Coturnix japonica: one gene and its partners. The protein of the gene in region 3 interacts with the protein of the main gene of each other region in a pairwise test. Links are inferred from orthologs where the notes say so. Each region holds a gene or a part of one and is shown on either strand. Other genes may lie near its edges.

Evidence for each region.
Region 1: the proteins of LONRF1 (region 3) and ALAS1 interact in binary tests that used the Homo sapiens proteins (3 or more experiments, as listed by UniProt). The two-hybrid records come from large-scale screens. The link is inferred for Coturnix japonica from reciprocal best matches to the Homo sapiens genes LONRF1 and ALAS1.
Region 2: the proteins of LONRF1 (region 3) and STAU1 interact in binary tests that used the Homo sapiens proteins (3 or more experiments, as listed by UniProt). The two-hybrid records come from large-scale screens. The link is inferred for Coturnix japonica from reciprocal best matches to the Homo sapiens genes LONRF1 and STAU1.

The regions. Positions count from the first base shown.
Region 1 is NC_029527.1:1,772,007-1,776,402, forward strand, and holds the start of ALAS1 (5-aminolevulinate synthase, nonspecific, mitochondrial), read left to right. Parts: upstream 1-1,592; 5' UTR 1,593-1,692; coding exon 1,693-1,879; intron 1,880-2,323; coding exon 2,324-2,521; intron 2,522-3,413; coding exon 3,414-3,569; intron 3,570-3,658; coding exon 3,659-3,881; intron 3,882-4,359; coding exon 4,360-4,396.
Region 2 is NC_029535.1:5,664,190-5,668,464, reverse strand, and holds the start of STAU1 (double-stranded RNA-binding protein Staufen homolog 1), read right to left. Parts: upstream 2,805-4,275; 5' UTR 2,646-2,804; intron 1-2,645. UniProt on the Homo sapiens protein: Binds double-stranded RNA (regardless of the sequence) and tubulin.
Region 3 is NC_029519.1:58,374,297-58,377,903, forward strand, and holds part of LONRF1 (LON peptidase N-terminal domain and RING finger protein 1), read left to right. Parts: intron 1-417; coding exon 418-539; intron 540-1,238; coding exon 1,239-1,397; intron 1,398-1,504; coding exon 1,505-1,667; intron 1,668-2,047; coding exon 2,048-2,200; intron 2,201-3,607.

The sequences.
Region 1 (4,396 bases), on a different chromosome or scaffold from region 3:
AACCAAGCTCTAAAGAAGGGTTATAATCACATCTGATTAATAGCACAGATTGCAAGGGAGCCTGACAGCAAAGCTGAGAGCTCTTCTTTGCTGGGAGACCTCTGTGCCATAGCCAAGGCTGCTGCCTCAGCTTCCAACCTTGAATCAAGTTCGAATAGAACACAGATGCTCTCCAGGCTTCAAACTCTTGAATACAAAACCAAGAGCTTGTGAATCCTGGCAGCAGAGCAGACTGACACACTTCGTCCCTCAACCTTGCAACACGCTGAGGTGCTGCCATTAAGATAAGAAGGATAAAGCAGCATTATCAGATTGTTGTGGGATTGAACCTGCTGCGGCAGGTGTCCGTGGGGATGAGCTCAGTGTAACACAAACCCCTGGGGGCTGGGGAAGGCACAGCCAGCAGACAGCCCAGCTCTGCCTTCTGCCAAGGTTTTGCAATAGGGGGAAGAAATGCATCATTGCCCTCCTCCTCCCACGCCTCAGCAGTCGGCGTATCCCCTACAGCAACAGCACTGGGATGGCCACGTCTGCACTGAGCTCCTTCTCTCGTTACCACCTGTAAGCATTCCCTGATAAAAAACACTAAACGCTCACTTCAAAGTGGGGGACACAAGTCACAATAAGACACACTGCAGTGCCATGTTCACATGAGGGCTCCTCATAGAGTCACAGCATGGCCTGGCTTGCAAAGGCTCACAGTGCTCATCCAGTCCCAACCCCCTGCTATGTGCAGGGTCACCAACCAACAGACCAGGCTGCCCAGAGCCACATCCAGCCTGGCCTTGAATGGCTGCAGGGATGGGGCATCCGCAGCCTCCTTGTTCCATTTAATGCCTACAGGGATGGGGCACCCACAGCCTCCTTGTTCCAGTGCCATCACTATCCTCTGGGTGAAAACTCATCTCCACACCCAGCAGCACCGCAGCTGTGGAGTGAGGGGAGAAGCCGTGAGGTCTGAGGCACAGGGTGATGGCCGGGATCCTTCAGCCACCAAACAGAGCTGTGTTATTGCACCCCTATGGCCCCCTATGGCCCCCCATGGTCCCCTATGGCCCCCTATGATCCCCTATGGTCCCCATATGCGGCCTCCCCTATGATTCCCCTATGGATCCCCTATGGCCCCCTATGGTCCCCTATGATCCCCTATGGTCCCCTATGGCTCCCATTATGGGCCCCCTATGGTCCACCTATGGGGCCCCCTATGGTCCCCTATGGCCCCCTATGGCCCCATGGTCCCCTATGGCCCCCTATGATCCCCTATGGTCCCTTATGGCCCCCCATGGTCCCCTATGGCCCCCCTATGGCCCCCTATGATCCCCTATGGTCCCCTATGGCCCCCCTATGGCCCCCTCTGGTCCCCCCTGTGGTCCCTTATGGTCCCCTATGGCCCCCTATGGCCGCCTATGGTCTCCCATGGTCCCCAATAGCCCCCACTGTTCCACTCGGTGTCCTCACTTGGACCAATCACATCTCGGAGCGCAGCACAAGCTCCGCCCACTCACACCAAGCCCCTCCCATTATGGGCGGGGCATACGTGCCCTCAGTGCGCATGCGCGTGCCCGTAGCCCTATATAAGGGCGTCCGCAGCGCGCTGGGCCGCAGTTCGCCTTCCGCCCGCCGTGAGGTGACAGCTGCGTGACGTCACTTCCGTCCGGCTGTAGCTGCGGCAGCGAGGAGGAGGAAGGCAGGATGGAGGCGGTGGTTCGGCGCTGCCCGTTCCTGGCCCGGGTGTCTCAGGCCTTCCTGCAGAAAGCCGGCCCTTCCCTGCTCATCTACGCCCAGCACTGCCCTAAAATGATGGAGGCGGTCCCACGAGGCCTCGCTACCTCCGCAGCCCGCGGGCAGCAGGCGGAGGAGACCCCTGAGGCCCAGCCGGGTGAGTAGGCCCCGCTGTGCTGTGTGCATTAGCTCAGTGTCGCTTAATGCTTTGAAACCCAGCGGTCATTGAGTGGGGGTGACTCTGCTGTGGGCACAGCTGGGTTGGGGCCAAAGCCTGAGGCTGCTATGGGCTCATATGGGGCTGTATCACACCCTGGGGAGCCTCTCCTGGTGCTGAGGGTTGGGGTGAAGTGTTTGGAGTAGGAATCTCCCTCTTAAAGGTAAGTGAGGGATTTCAACCTTAGAAGGGTACAGTGCAGGGTTTAGCATCCAAAGTCAGCCCCTCCTTGGGTATCATTAGCATTTCTTATGTAAATAACACATGAATGCCCAGTTAAGTCACTCTGAATGACTTGTGCTATGTGAGAAGTATGCAGAAAAGCTGAAGTAGCTATTAAAATGATAAACCCGAATTGCTTTCCTTTCTCTCTGCCCTCCCCAGAGGCCAAAAAAACCCAGCAGAACACAGATGGGTCACAGCCTCCTGCTGGCCACCCACCTGCTGCTGCTGCTGGTCAGAACTCTGCCACTAAATGCCCGTTCCTGGCAGCTCAGATGAATCACAAGAGCAGCAATGTCTTCTGCAAAGCCAGCTTGGAACTGCAGGAGGATGTGAAGGAAATGCAGGTGGACAGGAAAGGTATGTATGGTATGCATTGGTTCCTTCTGAGAGCCTTTGGTACTTGATTTTCTTCTGCCCCATGCCAAGTGTAGCAGTCATTGAATACCTTATGTAGATAAGGTTATGGCAAATAGCAATAGAAAGTTGTAGAATGCAGGTATTAATGGTGTGCCTGCAGTATTGTGCAGTCATTGCCATGGGTGATCATCATTCAGAAGTCCTGTATGCAGTAGTTTGATACCCTGGTTCAAAGTGTGTGAAGTGGTTCTTTTTTACCCTAAGCAGGCTGCTGGGACAAGAGAGCTTTACCACAGTGCTGTTATAGACGAGGGTGGTAGGTACATAGAGAAGAAACAGGGTCAGGATACTGCTTTACAAATCTAAGCTTGAAAGCAAGTGAGCAGCAGCTCTTTATTCTGTAGAACTGAAGGGTGTTGGCTGACTTGCAATCCTGGTGCAGAAATGCTGTCCTTCAAGGAAGAAACTTTTCACCAATGTCAATAAAACCTTGCCATACACCTCCAAAAGGAAGCCTGTTTTCTCCTTTTTAGTTCTGGAGGTGGAAAGGAAGCTGCCAGTTAGAACTCTGCCTTCAGTTAGCTATGTACCAGTTTGTTCAGATGAGTGCTGTAGCTCTGTAGGATGGGGCTCTGAGTCATGATGTGAACCAAATGTGTTGTAAGGCAATACATGTGGTGGTGTGGTTGCGTTGTATGGGACAAAAAGGGAAACAAACCTTTCTCATCCAAATGACTGACCAGTGCAATGGCTTAATTTGGCAGGGGTAGATCTAGGCGCATGCTTTCTAAAGAATGAGGAGTTAGTTAAAAGTGTTTACCTCTCTAAATTCAACCTAAACACCTCTATTTCAAACTGATTAGCTCACTGTAATCCATTATGATGTCTGTAGGTAAAGAATTTGCCAAAATACCAACTAATTCCGTGGTGAGGAACACTGAGGCTGAGGGAGAAGAGCAGAGTGGCTTGCTCAAGAAGTTTAAGGATATTATGCTGAAGCAAAGGCCTGAAAGTGTGTCTCATCTGCTTCAGGATAACTTGCCCAAATGTAAGACTATCTGGCAATACCCTCTCAGGTCTGCTCCCTTGTGATTACCTTTTTCCCCTGTGTGCTGAAGTCTTTTTGTTTCATTTCAGCTGTATCCACCTTCCAGTATGATCAGTTCTTTGAGAAAAAGATAGATGAAAAGAAGAAGGATCATACCTACAGAGTGTTCAAAACGGTGAACCGAAAGGCACAGATCTTTCCCATGGCAGATGACTACTCTGACTCCCTGATCACCAAGAAGGAGGTGTCTGTCTGGTGCAGCAATGATTACCTGGGCATGAGTCGTCACCCTCGTGTGTGCGGAGCAGTGATGTGAGTAGGGCTGCATTCTTAAGAGATGCATTCAGTTTAGGGGTTGCTCTGCAGCAGCTTCTCTAGGCAGACTTCTGAAGAATTGATTGCGTTATGCTACATAAGCTGCTTCTGATGGTATTCTTGGTATAATTAAGCTTATGCTCCACTCTTCAGCTAGTGCAGGTAACTTCATATTTGGTGTCAGGGCTGCAGAATTTACTTGTCAGTCCTTGCCCTTCATTTCCTCTGAAACCCCAACCACTACCAGTTAGACTGGATGGTGTGTTGCAACTATTCCCAGTAACTGATTCCTTAGTTCAGTGAAACCCTGAGTTATGCAGATTGTTCGAAGACCTTTAAAGCTAACAGCAGCTTTTTGCAGTCCTTCCCTTTTAAGATGACTTAAGGGTCACTGCTGAAGGTACTTCAGTACATATTAATCTCTGTAACAGTTGAATGTTAGTATCACTGATGTATCTTTTTGGGCCCTTTGTAGGGATACACTGAAACAACATGGTGCTGGAGCAGGAGGC
Region 2 (4,275 bases), on a different chromosome or scaffold from region 3:
TGGGATGTTTCACAACACAAGGCACCTGAACAGCTGCTGCCCCTTCAGTTGCAGAGCAAAGGTGATTCATTTTCCTCATTACTGACAGGTTGTTCACCAAGCAGGACGGTTCCCTGAAATGCATCCACTCAACAGAGACCAAAAAAAGCCCAAGCCTGAACTCTACCAAGAGATGCAAGTACCCAGGTGGGATCCAGACAACCAAAACAATGACCCATGGGATACACAGCACTCACTGCCTCCCCCTCTGGCACTGCACTCTCTGACTGGGGCAGCCCAGCCCAGCACACACCTACGGTCACCTACAGCAGAGCAGCCACTGGTCCAGCCACGCTGCCACCCGTTGCTTCAGACTGAGGAAGGCTGCTGTGCATCCATCACTGCTGGGCAAAATACCCTTCAGAACAACTCCATTCCTCCAGCCTTTTCTAAAGGAACTTTAAATAACTCAGATATGGTGGCAGAACCTCCTTCTTTTGTTGCATACTCACTTGGGGGCAACACACATCTCCACAAATTCCAACAGGTTTGCTGAGATGGTTCATTTCCTAACATAGATCTCAAAAATGCACAGCAGTAGCTCTGTGTATATAGCATGAAATCCTAAAGCACTTGGCTTCTGTAACAGCATCAACAACACTTGGTCATTTACAACTGAACTGTAAATAAATACACTCTACCAATAAAGATAAACAATACTTCAAACTTTATAGACCCGAGGCTATTTACACAGCACGTAAAACACAGCTGAGCAGCGCCTTCATCTTCAACAAATCTTGTTCTATAGCATCTGGGTAGGACCATCTCAAAACCAGCACTCGTTGAAGAGAAAGCTGCTGTTCTTTCTAAGATAAAACTCCATAAGACACGAGAGTTCAGAAGCAATGGAACGGGTCATGAATTAGAGAAAGCTGATGAAGAGCTACGACTTGAAAGTAAAACCTGAAGGAGCAGAAGGGAGCTGACAGATGTGCACATAAACCAGACAGCTCCAAACAGTGCAAGAGAATCAACTAGAAGGTGATGAGGTGATCACCAACAAAGATGAACGCTCACTCACATGGCTGCTTCCAGCTGGGTGCTGCACTTCATATTTGCTTGCTGCTCCCAGAAGTACGACAGGTCAGAGAGCCACAGTTACTAATTACAGCTCACATGGTAACCACACACAGATCTGCTCCGTGGCTCCAGCCACATCTCCAAGAACTCTCACACAATAAGGAACCCCAGCAAGGATTCCAGACAGCACAATGTTAAACACTTGTGAAAGTTCGTGTTGTCCTCAGAACAAATCACTGCTGAAAGAGTCTACTTAAAGTAATCACAAAGAATTGTTATCTCACCTGCTCTGGTGGTTGGCAACCCTGCACACAGCAGGGGGGGGTGAAACTAAATGATCATTGTGGTCCTTTTGAACCCAGGCCGTCCTATGATTCTGTGATAAAACACTTCAGAGCAGCTTTGAAATGAAATTCTGAGCCAATATCAGAAAAAGGTACGTGCAGAAACAATTGTAACTATTTAATCCTAAAGCTTTCACCAGGATGTGATGGTCATCTGCTTAAGTTATGACAGCTACCACCTCCAGAGCAGTCTGAGCACACAGATTTGTTGCTTGGTACCACGATATCTCATTGCAAGATGATAAATGGACAAATCAGGGACGCTCTGCTCCATCACAGCCATCGCTGTGTCGTCAAAACTCACTGTGAAAAGGTTTTTAGAAAGTAATGATCTGTCAGCATGGACGGAGCAGCTGCGCACTGAGGTCGTGTGTCATCGGTAGGATTTAAGAACTTCTTTAAATATACTGCCCTAAAAGCAGGCAGGGGCCTTCCATGCAGGTATCTCATTTCACTGCTATTGATACACCTCGCTGCCTATCAATTCCCAATGACGTTCTTCCAGGTTTGCCTTTAACCTGTCAGAAAATGGACCCAAAAAAAACCACCCCAAAATACAGATCGACGAGAAGCGGCTGTCACTGCTCCCAGCGACAGCACCACCCCACACAGAGCACAAACGGGGCAGAGAGCAATAAGGATGCGACAAGAACTTGTTGCTACCACGGCTCCTGAGAAACTACGTGACGAGAGCAAGGAACGGGGAAACATCATCACTGCAACCGACCGGGACCGGGGGGCAGCCATAGGAGAGCACGGGGCCCGCGGGCAGCAAAGCAGCACTGCCCACCGCCTCCAAGGGGTGAGCGCCGCGATGTCCGCGGGGTGAAGGCTGCGGGCTGCTGTGCTGACACCAACCGGAGGGGTCGGGCGGCTCCTGAGGAGCAGCACCCCGAGAGCCCCCGGCTCACACAGCCCCGCTCCGAGGGCGGTCACCATCGTCCGCACACGCTGAAACGGGACAGGGCCGGGCCGAGGGCAGGCGCCGTTCCGCCCGCTGTCACCTCCCGGTGGGTGCTACCGGGATCCCCCCGTTGTTATCGGCGGGCAGGGCAGGGGCCGCTCCCGTTGCGGCTCTTTGGGGCGGCCCCCCCCGCCACCTGCCCGTTCCCCCCTCAGCTGGGCAGGGCCCGGAGCGGGGCGGGGGGACAGCGGAGCCGGGCCCCTCCCCAGGGCCTCGCTAGGCCCCGCCGCCACCCCCCGCCCCGCTACCGGGGGGAGCCCGGGCCGCCTCCCCCTCACCTGGCTGCCTGGGCTGCGGCTCCCGGGCCGGCTGCGGGGCGGGCCAGCGGGCGGCTCAGTCCATGGGCCGGGTCCCGGGGGGGGCCGGGGGGCGACGGCGGAGGGAGCGGCGGGTACAGGGCAAACACTAAAGAGAATGAGCGGGGCCAGCTCCGGCCGGGGAGGAAGTGACGCCACCGAGGCGGGAGGCGGGGGAGGCGGGCAGCCAATCGGAAGCGCTCAAAGCCCCAAAGGAAACGCCCCTTTCCGCGCTTTCGGCCAATGGGAGCGCGGGACGACGGGAGCACCGCCTCCTTTAGGGCGACTACAAGTCCCGGCGTGCCTCGCGGCACAGCTGCAGGTCGGCTGTGTGTGTGGGACTACAACTCCCAGCGTGCACCGCGGGCACAGCTCAACCGGGACTGCAACCACCAGAGCAGGGTCAGGCCTATATGGCAGGAAGGGACACTGCGAGCACTGAGTGATTTAGGAATATTTTATCGTTCTTAATGGTTAAAAACACAATTTAAATCACGAGTTTATGGTTAAAAACACAATTTAAATCACAAGGTTAAACCCTGTGGTGTCACTAAGTGACATGATGGTAATTTCTGCCATTTCCAGAGCAATACAAACCTGACAGATGGACCTTCAGTCCACTGTAAGCACAACAGCCTCCATGTTCAGTGCTGAGAATCACAAGTACCCACTGAGCTGAAACAAACCACAACCCAAGAACGGATCTAAAGCTTCATATCCATGGGTGTATTTAATACCGCTATGGATTCCAAAGATACCGGAAAGAAAACCTGTGATACACATAACATCAATTGACAACGTAGCAGTTACAAACCATTCTCCATTTATACAGACACATATATCCCGTATCACATTCAAACACCTGCTTGGATGTTCTTGAGGTCTGCTGCATCATCTGTGCTGTTAGATCCCATTCAAGCAACAGTTAAACTTCAGAAGGAAGTGAAATTGTGTAACTGTTACTGTAAAGGCTGAATGTTGTCTGTTACATTAACAGCTTTTTGTGCAGCGAGTTGGGGGAAGAGAGAGAAATACAAAACTATTTCACTGCAAGTTCAGTTTTATTTCCATTCTTAGTGCAGCAGCTTTGGGTCAGGATAGAGGCCTGTTTGCAGCTCACAACTTGTGAGAGTTGGAAGGAAATAAAAGGGATGTGAATTTCTCTTCACAGCTTTTGGAAATGAAAACGCAGTTAAGCTCAATATCCCACGGAGTTGTGCCAAACCCCCTCCATTTTGCTTATCTGGCTCTTCGCTTCCTATTAATTACTTCATAATAACGTATTTACTTCTAATCTCATCTTGAATACAAAACATTAAGTCCAGTATAAGCTTTGACCTCACGTGGCTCATTACTCTGAGAGAAAACTGGGTAAGCAACTCCTGTATTATCTGACTGTGACCTCTACCTTTTGTGGGTGATACTAAACTGGTTTAAAGCCGTTATATCTGCTATTGCCTATCCTTACAGCCACATTTCCTCTAAGTCACAGTAAGGCAGTAATTACTTCATTTAAGTGAATAGGGGGAGGAGGCTAAGGGAAAATAAAGCATTTATTCCATTGCATTTTGTTCTTCTCTGCTTTAATTTTTTTTCTTTGGCTCCTCTGACA
Region 3 (3,607 bases):
TTTATGCTTTTGTGATCACCTATATATATATATATATATATAAAAAAATTAAATCCTGATGATTTGTAAACTGAGAACTATTCAGTAAGACTTCCCCGTGGTTTCTATATGCTTTCCATATTTGTGTGGCTGTTTAATGAGGAAAATAAATTCTGCCTCTGTAAGTATAGAAACACATACTGAATTAGACACTAGAGTTGTTGGACTGTAAGAACTAAAACAGAATTTTCTGATAATAATGGTGGGGGTTAAGAAATGTAAGAATTTCAGATTTCCTGGATGTAAATCTCATTTGTAACATATTTCATGTATCGTGCTTAAAAAAAAAAAAAAGCAAAAAAAAACAAAAAAAGCTGATGTCTCAATTCTTTTATTAATGTATCAGTAAAGAAATGTGTTGTTTTAAATTGCTTACAGTACCTTGCAAGCAGAAAATACAGCATCACAGAACTACTAGAGGAATTAATAATGAAATATTTGTCTGATGAGCTTTATGAGAGAAAAAGAATTCATGCTGAAGAAACTGCTGAACACTCAAAGTAAGCTTTATGCCTTCTATCTAGAAAATCTGAGAAATGAGAATGGTTTTTGACCTAGACAGGCTTGAGCAGAGGGCCCAGCTGAACATCATGAGATTGGATAGAACCAAATGCAAGGTCTTGCACCTGAGTTGTGGCATCCCCTGCTATCAGTACAAGCTGGGGCTGAAAGGACAGAGAAAAGCTGTACTGAAAAGCTCCTGGGGGTATTCACTTCTAATGGAAGAATTTCTAGATATGTTTCTTTTAATAGTTATTCCTAGATTCTGCTTAGTTTTTTTTTTTTTTTCAACTAGTAGACCTCGCTGAAACATTGCAAGGGTAAAAACCATAGCTTGGGTTGCGTCATTTAACTTAATCTAAATGGTGAGCTGGTTGCTGTGCATTTGTTAGTTGATGTATATGGCATCAACTAAACCAGAAAGGAAGAAAACAAGAAATGCTCTTGCTCCCACGACAAGTTCTATATTCACTAACTAGATATTTCAGCTCGCTATCCATTACGTATTCAACTCAGTACATAAGTGTTCAGTCACTGTGTTCTTACTGTTAAATGAAATTATTATAATGTAGTTATTATTGGAGTTTGTAACAAGTGTTTTATGACTTTAAATACATACTGTTAAAAAAAAAAAAAAGTATTGGCATTGCTCTGTAATTATGTTTTAAGTCTTGTATTCTTTTGTCATTCTTTTGAAGCTTGACCAAGAATGTTCCAATGTTTGTTTGCACTATGGCATATCCTACTGTGCCTTGCCCTCTACATGTGTTTGAGCCAAGATATCGACTAATGATTCGGAGAAGTATGGAAACTGGGACTAAACAGTTTGGGATGTGTATAAGTGATTCTCAACATGGGTAGGTTTTACATTCTAATAGTAAGCTTCTTTTCTGCCTTTTTTAAATTAAACCAGCTGTCATCATAGTACTGTATAATTACATTACTGATAAAGTCTCTTTTCTAGTTTTGCAGATTATGGTTGCATGCTGCAGATTAGGAACGTTCACTTTCTGCCTGATGGACGGTCTGTTGTTGATACAGTTGGTGGAAAGAGATTTCGAGTTCTACAGAGAGGGATGAAAGATGGCTATTGCACCGCAGACATAGAGTATTTGGAAGATGTTAAGGTATCCAGAATGTTGTCCAATGCTTCTGCTTTTAGCTGCTATCTTAAGACTTTCTTTGTTTGTTTTGAGGGCTCTGTCAAATTTTTAGGTCCATAGAAACGTGGAGGATACAATGTCGGTATAAGGAAGAAATGGAAGATAACCTTTTTTAATTGTTATTATTAAATAAGAAGGAAATATTTTGCTTTTCATTTGAACAGTAGTTTGTGAAGCTGTAACTCTTAAGTATCGGAGGATTTCTTTACAATTCAGCCACTAGCAACCATGGCTTAGGAGAATGCAAAAACTTAACTAAATAGAGTTGTCTTTTTTTATGTTAGCTCAAAAACTATGGCAATTTTCTTCATCTGTAATGGTGTTTTCATAATGTTCCTTGCTAGGCTGCTGATGAAGAAGAGCTGAAGAAACTGAGAGAGCTTCACAACTTTGTTTACAGTCAGGCCTGCAATTGGTTCCAAAACTTAAGAAACAAATTCCGCACTCAAATTCTTCAGCACTTCGGGCCAATGCCTGACAGGGAGGAAAATATACAGGTGAGACATCACTTAGTATCAAATATCAGGTGACTGTTTTTTACCGGGGGAGGGTAGGTGTGGAAAGCCAAAATCCAATTGTTAAAAAGCTGCTAAACATTAAAGAGAAAATGCTTTTTTTTTCCCTCAAATTAAAGGGAAGCAGGACTTTATCTTTTCTTACAGAGAGCAACAAAAGACAGCTGGCAGTTCTCTTCTGCAATAAAGGATGATAGGCTATTTTATAAATAGTGTACTGATAATACTTTCAGTTACAGAAATGTTCTGAACTGTTGGTTTGTGCAAAGTTGTTAGAATTCAAATGGAGAAAAATAGGAAGTGTTTCAGTATTTTCTTTCCTGTGATGTGTGTAGGCAGTAATCTGGGACAGAGGTAATCACAAATAACACTTTCCTCCTTTTGGAGCTAGTGCTGTAAATTGCTGCAGATGCTAGAATTTGGCAAATATTTATGTTAATTTTATGGAACTGGCTTCAGCCATCTGTTTCAATGGTTATTGTAAACAATTGAGGAAGATCAGAGAGATCCTCAAGGAGTGGGGTGGCTGGAAAAAGTTATCTCCTATCTACTACATATTTTTATGAGACCGTTACTGATCTTGGAAGGCTGTAAATACATTGGAGGGCTTTCAGAAATGATCTTAGAACATTTCAATTAAAGACTGGTTTAAAACAACATACGTTAGCAAAGAGGAGTAAGTGCACTCAAACAGAATGACTAGCTCGGCAGCAAGACTGAAGGTATGTGCCTAAGACTTAGACCATTAAGTGTCAACTGTGTGATGAAGGGAGGAAATTTCATTCAGGGATGTACCATTGCCAAGGCTGTTCTTGCAAGTATGTGAGGTAACTGAGGTATTTCTGCACTGCAGTGATTCATCCTCCACTGAGAACTATTATGTCCTGGGCACGATGTCTCAGGCTCCATGTAGAGAATGAAATAAAGCATAGGGAAAAGCTGCAAAGTGTTTTATAAAGTTAGAAGAAACAAGCTAAGCAGTCCTGCTCTGTCTAAAGATAACAAGGTGCAAGTGGAATGCAGTAGTAATAGAGAGTCCCTCAGACGCACCAAAAGATATATGCAATCAGTGTTGGGCATCAAGAACATTCAAACCTGAAGAGTAATGTGACAGATATGAAGTTAGTTTGCATCAGGGAGGTTTACTAGGTGACTGTCCTATACTTGGCCATCCTTTCCTAAAGAAATTGAGATGCCTGCGTTGTCTTGAGAACAATCGATTGCTTTATCAAATGTAGCTTAAGTGCATTTTATTTATAGACTTCTGAGGCAAAGAGGGATCAGAATAGATCAATTCAGAACCCTCTTGGTCTTACAGATCTGTAATTCTCTGGTCGATATCAAAATTCAAACCAGCGCTTGTCTTTGACTTGCTTGTCTTTTGATGTC